Linked DNA regions of Rattus norvegicus. The protein of the gene in region 2 purifies or fractionates together with the protein of the main gene of each other region. This does not show direct contact. Links are inferred from orthologs where the notes say so. Each region holds a gene or a part of one and is shown on either strand. Other genes may lie near its edges. The genes, in order: Dyrk1a and Fntb.

Region 1 (3,685 bases), on a different chromosome or scaffold from region 2:
CATGTAATGTGCAGGACCTGTATTAGCAGAAAATTGGTATGTTGGATGTCCAGCTATGCCAGTCTCTTGGCGGGGATTGGAGTAGACGGTCAAATTAACGTCCATAGCTCCATTCTGTCCAAAGTCCAAGGTGTTAGCAGCCACTGGGCGGTTCTGATAGGCCTGATTGCCTTGATTACCAGTAGAGGAGGAAGATGTCGAGGAAGAAGTTGTTGAGGAAGACAGGGATGTCATGGAGTGGTGACTGTGGCCAACCTCCATAGAATCCTGGGTAGAGGAGCTATTTGTTGGAGAATTGTAGACCCTTGGCCTGGTCCGGTTACCCAAGGCTTGCTGTCCATGGTGGTGGTGGTGGTGATGGTGGTGGTGGTGATGATGGGAACTGTTTCCATGGTGATGATGCAATGCATTCTGCTGAGGGGCTACATGAAAGGTTGTTTCTTGAACAGGATGAGTTTCAACAGTGACTTGTGTAGGAGCTTCAGTGCCTGACCAGCCCAGAGGAGCCGGAAACTGCTGGCGCACCTGTAGGGGTAGCATTGTGACAGGGTTATCAACTGCTGGCACACCTGAGGGAGCAGCACTGTGACAGGGTTATCAGCACGCCTGAGCACAAACACTCACTCACTCACTCACTCACTCCTGGGCAGCCCCATGTCCGTCCCTGCCCTTTCCAACCCACTGAGAGGAGCATAATATCCTTCCAAGTCAGCTTGTTCCCTGTCCAAAATCCCTTCAGCGCATCCTAGTGTGCATAAAGTCATCCTAAATCCTGACACCATCTTTCAATCTTCCACTGCTGTTTCTCCAATATTTCTTTACTTACGTGAGTTCCAATCAGCCCAGGTCTTCTTCCCACCCCTTGACCTGAACATATGCTTTCAGGCTTCTGAACTCACTGTTTCCTCCTGGAGAGAATGCTTTCTTTTCTAATCTTCGCTTGGGTTCCGGCTGCCGTCCTAAGTGCATGTGGCAAAGGCTGCTGCCGTGCCACCCTCGCTGCCTTTCCATATCCCCACTCCATAGTCACTGCACTACACTGCAGATGACTGCACCACACGCTCCAGCCTTCCTTGCACTCCCTTAGCCACCAGCAGGACTACGGACTGAGTCTGTCTAGGTCTCATTAAGTCTGTCTGCTGGGTACCATGCCATGGGCAACTAACTGGGCCTAGGGGGTGTAGAGTCACAACCTGGTAAGAGACCAGTCATAAATGACACACAAATGACAAATCAACACTTACTTGACTACTGTACTCACAGAGAGGAAACTCCCCACATTCTCTCAGATGCCCACCTCGGAGACTGTGTGTTTAGTTTACTTCACTCAATATGCCTCAGTCTAACAAACATCCTCTCAGTCACATGACTCTGGACTGCTGCGGTGACGGTGCTGGGGTCTAGCACAGAACTTTACCAACCCCAAGCAGGCAATACCTACCTCAGAGGAATACGTCAAGTCTTTCTTTGGTATAGAATCATCACTTGTTGTTTTTATCTGTGTTTTAGTGTGTTTACTATGTCACTGTGAGCTCTGAAAAGGCAAAGGCTATCTCTACCACCAGTCTCTAGCATAAATTGTTAAAAGTAAATATTTGATAAAAATTGTACAGAAATGAAACTCCTGAAAATCCAGTAGGGAAAACAAAACTGGCAACAATCTCATAAAAAAAAAAATTAAAGGCTGACCATTCTTAATCTACTATGAAATGCTTTAAAAATATAGCAATTACAATTTCAGATTGGAGATACTCAACTGGTAAACCGTGAACAACTGCACCAAAATCTATCGAAACACGCACGGCTCCAATCCATGCTGTCTCAGCTGAGAAATACTTGCTACTGTGACCACACACCACACAAGAGAAGGGTTCTGCTAAGGGGCAGGGCCGACCCCTGCAGCATACCTATGCTCCTAGGCAGAGAGAAGAGACCCATGTGTAGAATACAGAGACTAACTGCACCCGACTGAGCGCTCTCTGACTGACCTGAGTGGACAGCACGCTGCTTCTGAGTTGAACCCGTCAGCACATGGTTAGTTATAACATCTTAAATTACGACAGCCACTGATACACTCACAGTGGCTGCACAGAAAGTTATCTGACGCCACCTTTTTTTTTTTTTTTTTTTTTTTTTGGAGCTGGGGACTGAACCCAGGGACTTGCATTTGCTAGGCAAGCGCTCTACCACTGAGCTAAATCCCCAACCCCCAGAAAGTTATCTGACAATGAGGATGCCTCCTTCCCAAGTGACTGGTAGGCTGTGTATATGGTACAGACAAAGCTGGACACAGGAAAGAATGGGATGAGATCTCATCCTGTTATTCAGAAGCACACAGTTTTATAAAGATAAAATGGTTCTTCCTTTGTTTGGTATTTTCAGACCATAGTGGATATAGACAATGAAGTCAAGCACAGATAAAGGAACTCCAAAGCACACTTTTCCATTACTTTCTTCCTTTACTCTTTGGGGGGAAGTGTAGAAGTCTGTGCACCTACGTGCTGCTGGAGACTAATGTAGCCAGGGCACCGTGTGCTCCAGGCAAATGCTCTACCACTATACTCCAAGTTGGCAATGACTTTTAATACTCAACTTACTGAGTTGTCAGATCATGCAGAAGACAATCATGACCATAAATAATCCTTGTTACCTCACTCTGACTCAGCAATTTCATTTCCAACTCTTTCTAGGAATTTAGAACACAGACAAAATGTGCATGTGTGACTGGTGTACTTAAAAAGTTTTTATTATGATATCAAAAATAGTGAAACTGACTACAGATAAGAGAAATGCCCATGAATAAGCTATGAGCGAAATCAATCATGAAATATTTGAACAATGTAATACTGCAAAGCAGTATAAAATAAAGTTTTACTGTGATATAGGAAGAATACCAATCTACGCCAAGTGAAGAAGGATCTAGGTATAAAACTGTGCATGTATATGACAGTGTTTATAAAGAGGCTAGTGTGGGGTTGGGGATTTAGCTCAGTGATAGAGCGCTTGCCTAGGAAGCGCAAGGCCCTGGGTTCAGTCCCCAGCTCCGAAAAAAAGAACCAAAAAAAAAAAAAAAAAAAAAAAAAAAGAGGCTAGTGTATATAATATACCTGGTGAAGGTGTTTGTGTATAAATATTTTGTCTGCATATAAAATATTATCTGATTAAATACATTATCTGATAATATATAGCTAGGTTTACTTTTCCATAAAGAACATCTTTTCAAAGACATAAAAGTTACAAATACTAGTTTGTACTACACTAGCTGACATGAAGAAGAGGGCTTCTCATAAACCACCTCTGTGGTTTCTTTCTTCTTACTACATGACTGTATCAATTATTAAAAGACTGGCCAGCCAGATGGCTCAGCAGGTAAAGCCATTTGCAAACAACCCTGACAGTCTGAGAGTTTAACTCAGATTTCCTTCTGCCCCTGGCAGACATGGCGAGACGACTCCCTGAAGTGGTCCTCTGACATCCACAAGCATGCTATGGTTCCCATGCAGCCACATACATCCACACTCAACATAAATAAACAACTAAAAACAATTTAACTCAAAAAGAAAAGACTGTGCTGGGCACAGTGCAGCACGCCTGTAACTCCAGCTTCTTGAAGGCAGGAGGACAATGATCACAAGCAGAAATGCCAGCTGGGCTTGCCCAACAGATCAGTGACCTCTGTAAGGTA
Region 2 (3,814 bases):
ACTGAAACCCACATAGAGGAGTAGGAAGATTGCGAACCAATCCCGAGGCTTGCTGTCGCTGTCTGGCCGGATGCTGGTGGTCTGCCAGCCCCAGCCTCTCCATCACAGCCCTGAGCAATTGTGAGATTTGAGATGCTTTTGTGCACAATGCTTTTTGCTCATGTGTTATAGGTTAAACTTCCCTGGTATGAATATTTAAAATCCAAAGTGCTTTAAAAGCTAACTTTTTTAAGATCATACTAGCACTCAAAAAGTTTTGGAGCCAAGAGTGGTTGTGTACATCTGTAATTGCAGCAGAGGAGGGATACATCCTGCCCCTCCCCAAAAGGACTCTATTCCAGAAAGAATCCAGTCATGTCATTTGCAGGAGAACGGAGCGGTCTCAGGAGGACATGTTTTCTCTCATCTGTGGGTCAAGTTATACACAGACACATAAAACACGCCATGTATCTATGACATGAACCAGAAGTCAAACTGTCTGTGGAGACAAAGGGAATTAACGGGAAGGGGAGGGTTTGAAAAGGGAGGAAGGATGAGTGCGTGTATAGACAAGCTTTAATTTTTAAAACGCTGCGGTGTGACTCCTCCCCTCTCATGTCTCTTTTCTCTTTTGTTTTTGTTTTTGATAGAGTTTCTATCTATCTTCAAAGCTAGCTGTCTGTCCATCCATCCATCCATCCATCCATCATCCATCTATCTATCTATCTATCTATCTATCTATCTATCTATCTATCTATCTATCTATCCATCTATCCATCTATCTATCTATCTGTATGGCTGTCCCGGAACTCTTTCTGTAGACCAGATTGGCCTTGAACTGACAGACCTGCTGGGATTAAAGGTGTGCACCCCCACCGCCCGGCCTGATTTTCTTCCTTACTTTTTATCTTCACTCCATATGAGAGAAAATGTGATCTTTCTGTGTCAGAGGTCCCAGGAAGGGAAACGGAAGGACAATGGAATGTACTGCCAAGGGAGAGGTGGGGGACAGCAGAAGTGGGGGCTGGGGGCAAATAAGAACAAAGCATACTGACTGCACACAAGAGAATGTCACAGCAAAAGGCAGACACGCACTCCTGTAATCCCAGCGTGTGGGAGACGCAGGAAGGTCAGGAGTTCAAGGCTAGCTTACATAGTAAGTCTGAGGCCATCCTGGACTAGATGAGACACAGAAAAACAGAATGGAAGGAAAAAAAATGGAAGGAAAAAAATGCTGGAACAAGCAGTACTTTGTTAATTAAAACATATTTAGTGATAAGAAAGTTACAGTGCTTAAGAAAAAGATTTTGGAGCAAGGAGCTAGCTTAGTGGTGGAGCACATGTCTAACATGTTAGGGTACTAGGTCTGCCACACAGTTTCTGATTTCAGTTTTACATAAGATGACTAACTGGTAAAGTCTGGGTGAATATTCTAAAAACAACAAACTCCAAAATGGCATTTCCTCACGTCATTAAAATATTTGAAAGCACATATTAGAGCTCTCTCTAAAAGATTTATCATGTAAGTCGGTGTTTTGTCTGCCTGTCTGTCTGTATGAGGGAAGTGAACCCAGGTCCTCTGACAGAGCAGTCAGTGCTCTTCAGTGCCGAGTGTCTCCAGCCCTGGAAAGCACACATCTGGGTGGCTGAGTAGTGGTCCCCTGTAATTGTATACTGAGATGTTGACTGTTTTGTCGCACATTTGGGCCTGGAATAACCCTGTGTATGTATCACTCACGCTCCTTAGCCGAAGCTCTGCTGGTGCCTGTCCGCAGCCACAGAGCCACTGGTGACGGACGGCTTTGCCTCTGTTCTCGTTACAGCAGCCCACTCACCCTGTGTACAACATCGGACCTGATAAGGTGATCCAGGCCACCACACACTTTCTGCAGAAGCCGGTCCCAGGCTTTGAGGAATGCGAAGATGCGGTGACCTCAGATCCTGCCACTGACTAGAGGACCCCATGGCTCCCCCAAATCCCCCGTCAGACAAGGTTTCTCCGTTTGGGTACATAGCACAGTCCGTGCTACTTGAGCCTTGGCCACTGTGGAGTTGTGGTTTCTTTGTCCTTTCCTGTCAAACAAAACAAAGCCATCAGCTCTGGGTTGGAATACACAATGGTGTGATTTTAAAAATTATTTTCATACCTGTCAAACCAAAACTCTGGGAGCCGATGTAGTAAGCAGGGTTGGAGAGCAATGCATGCTGGGAAGCAGCAGCCTCCTCCAGCAGCCAGGCCCACAATGCTGAAATGGAAGGTGTCTGTGAGTATCTCCACATCACAGCCACTGCTGTGCCTCCCACCTACACACCATTCAGTCAGCAGATGGGCTCCTCTCTGGTATAAATGTCAGCTCTGTGCAAGGGCGGGGCTGTGGGTCCAGCCAATACATGCTCTCTGGAAAACAGCACTGGGCTCCAGTGGGCATATTCATACTTGTCTCTTTTACCCCAGTCATTTGCGAAGGACAGGGGCCAGGAATGAAGAAGGGTCTTAGATTGAGCCTTCCCCACAACCTGAGGAGAACTGATCTCATATTTCTCCAAGGCCATGTTTGTATGAGCAAGACTTGTTTTGCCCTAAGTATGACGACTAGACCCAGGTAATCAATTATGAGTGGAAAATCAACCTCTAGGTGAACTCTGTGCCAGAGGAAGCAGCCTCCCCAGTGCCCAGCCCCTGCCTCTCCCCATCATGTACCAGGAGAGGCCCTCCTCACGGCAGTGCTGCAGCCCAGGCTCCTTCTAGTCCTTTCTCCCCACCCACCCTCCAAGACAGTGCTCTTTTCTCATCCAGGGTGTTAACACTACTAAGGCTTCACCGTAATCGATCACTCAGGATTTACTCCTGCCCTGCCCACTCCAGGCTCTCTGAAACACAGTCAAGTGCTAGGCAAGCTAGCTGCTGCTGGGACAGTGACCAGCAGGAAGGCAAGTGCTGTCCGTGTGCTGAATTCTGGAACTGCCTCTGCACCGGCTGAGTTTGCTCACCTATCCACTGCTACAGTCATAGCAAGCTCATGCCGCTGTCCCAGCCTGTGCGAGCAGGCAGACGGGAGCTTGGAGATGCAGCATGAGGTTCTTCCCCAAACCACTGGCCATTTGCTGCCTCTGATTCCCCATTGCTTTGGTGTACTGGGCTATGTATTACCTCCTTGAAATAATAAAAGAGTAACATTTTCTATGCTGTCTTTTTTTTTTTTTTCAGAGAAAATTTAAGTGTGTGTGTGTTTGTGTAGGTGTCTGTGGAGACCAGAAAAGGGCATCAAATCCCCTGATCTTAGTATAGGTGTTGTTACTTAGTTCAGCATGGGTGCTGGGAACCAAATTAGTATCTTTTCTAAGAATGCCAAGTGCTCTAGCCATTGAGCCTTCTTTCCAGCCCACCATGCTATCTCCTGTCTATACCAAGAAAATTCCTTCAGGATGCCCTTTTGCTGTGGGCATTTCCTCTCTCCTGCATGTGAATGAAGGGAGTTGAAATTCATTCCTCCTTGTGTATCTCCTTCCCACACTGAAGTCTGATATTTGTGAGTCCCCAGCCCACCGGGGAGGGGACCATGACTACCATCGCACAGGGCTGTGCGGGTGGACATCCTGGCCATGGGTAGGGGCTCATATGGGGGTAGCCGGAATTCTGTGGTTGCTGTAAGTGACTCTCTGACAAGGCCAAGAAGGCAGCATTCTGAGCTTGCTTCTTGAAAGAAGGATACCTCACGGGGAAACTCCATCCATGCAAATAACCCAGCTACATTCTGAATGCAACTCTCATCCCTGGGCAATGTTTATTTTGCTAATAAAGGTTTGGGTTGCAGTCCAATATCCCAAGTTTACC

Evidence for each region.
Region 1: the proteins of Fntb (region 2) and Dyrk1a purify together in Homo sapiens (affinity purification with mass spectrometry; 3 studies listed by BioGRID, counting the BioPlex papers as one). This does not show direct contact. The link is inferred for Rattus norvegicus from reciprocal best matches to the Homo sapiens genes FNTB and DYRK1A.

The regions. Positions count from the first base shown.
Region 1 is NC_086029.1:47,472,637-47,476,321, reverse strand, and holds part of Dyrk1a (dual specificity tyrosine-phosphorylation-regulated kinase 1A), read right to left. Parts: intron 526-3,685; coding exon 1-525. UniProt on the Homo sapiens protein: Dual-specificity kinase which possesses both serine/threonine and tyrosine kinase activities. Exhibits a substrate preference for proline at position P+1 and arginine at position P-3.
Region 2 is NC_086024.1:101,349,556-101,353,369, forward strand, and holds the end of Fntb (protein farnesyltransferase subunit beta), read left to right. Parts: intron 1-1,802; coding exon 1,803-1,934; 3' UTR 1,935-3,161; downstream 3,162-3,814. UniProt on the Homo sapiens protein: Essential subunit of the farnesyltransferase complex. Catalyzes the transfer of a farnesyl moiety from farnesyl diphosphate to a cysteine at the fourth position from the C-terminus of several proteins having the C-terminal sequence Cys-aliphatic-aliphatic-X.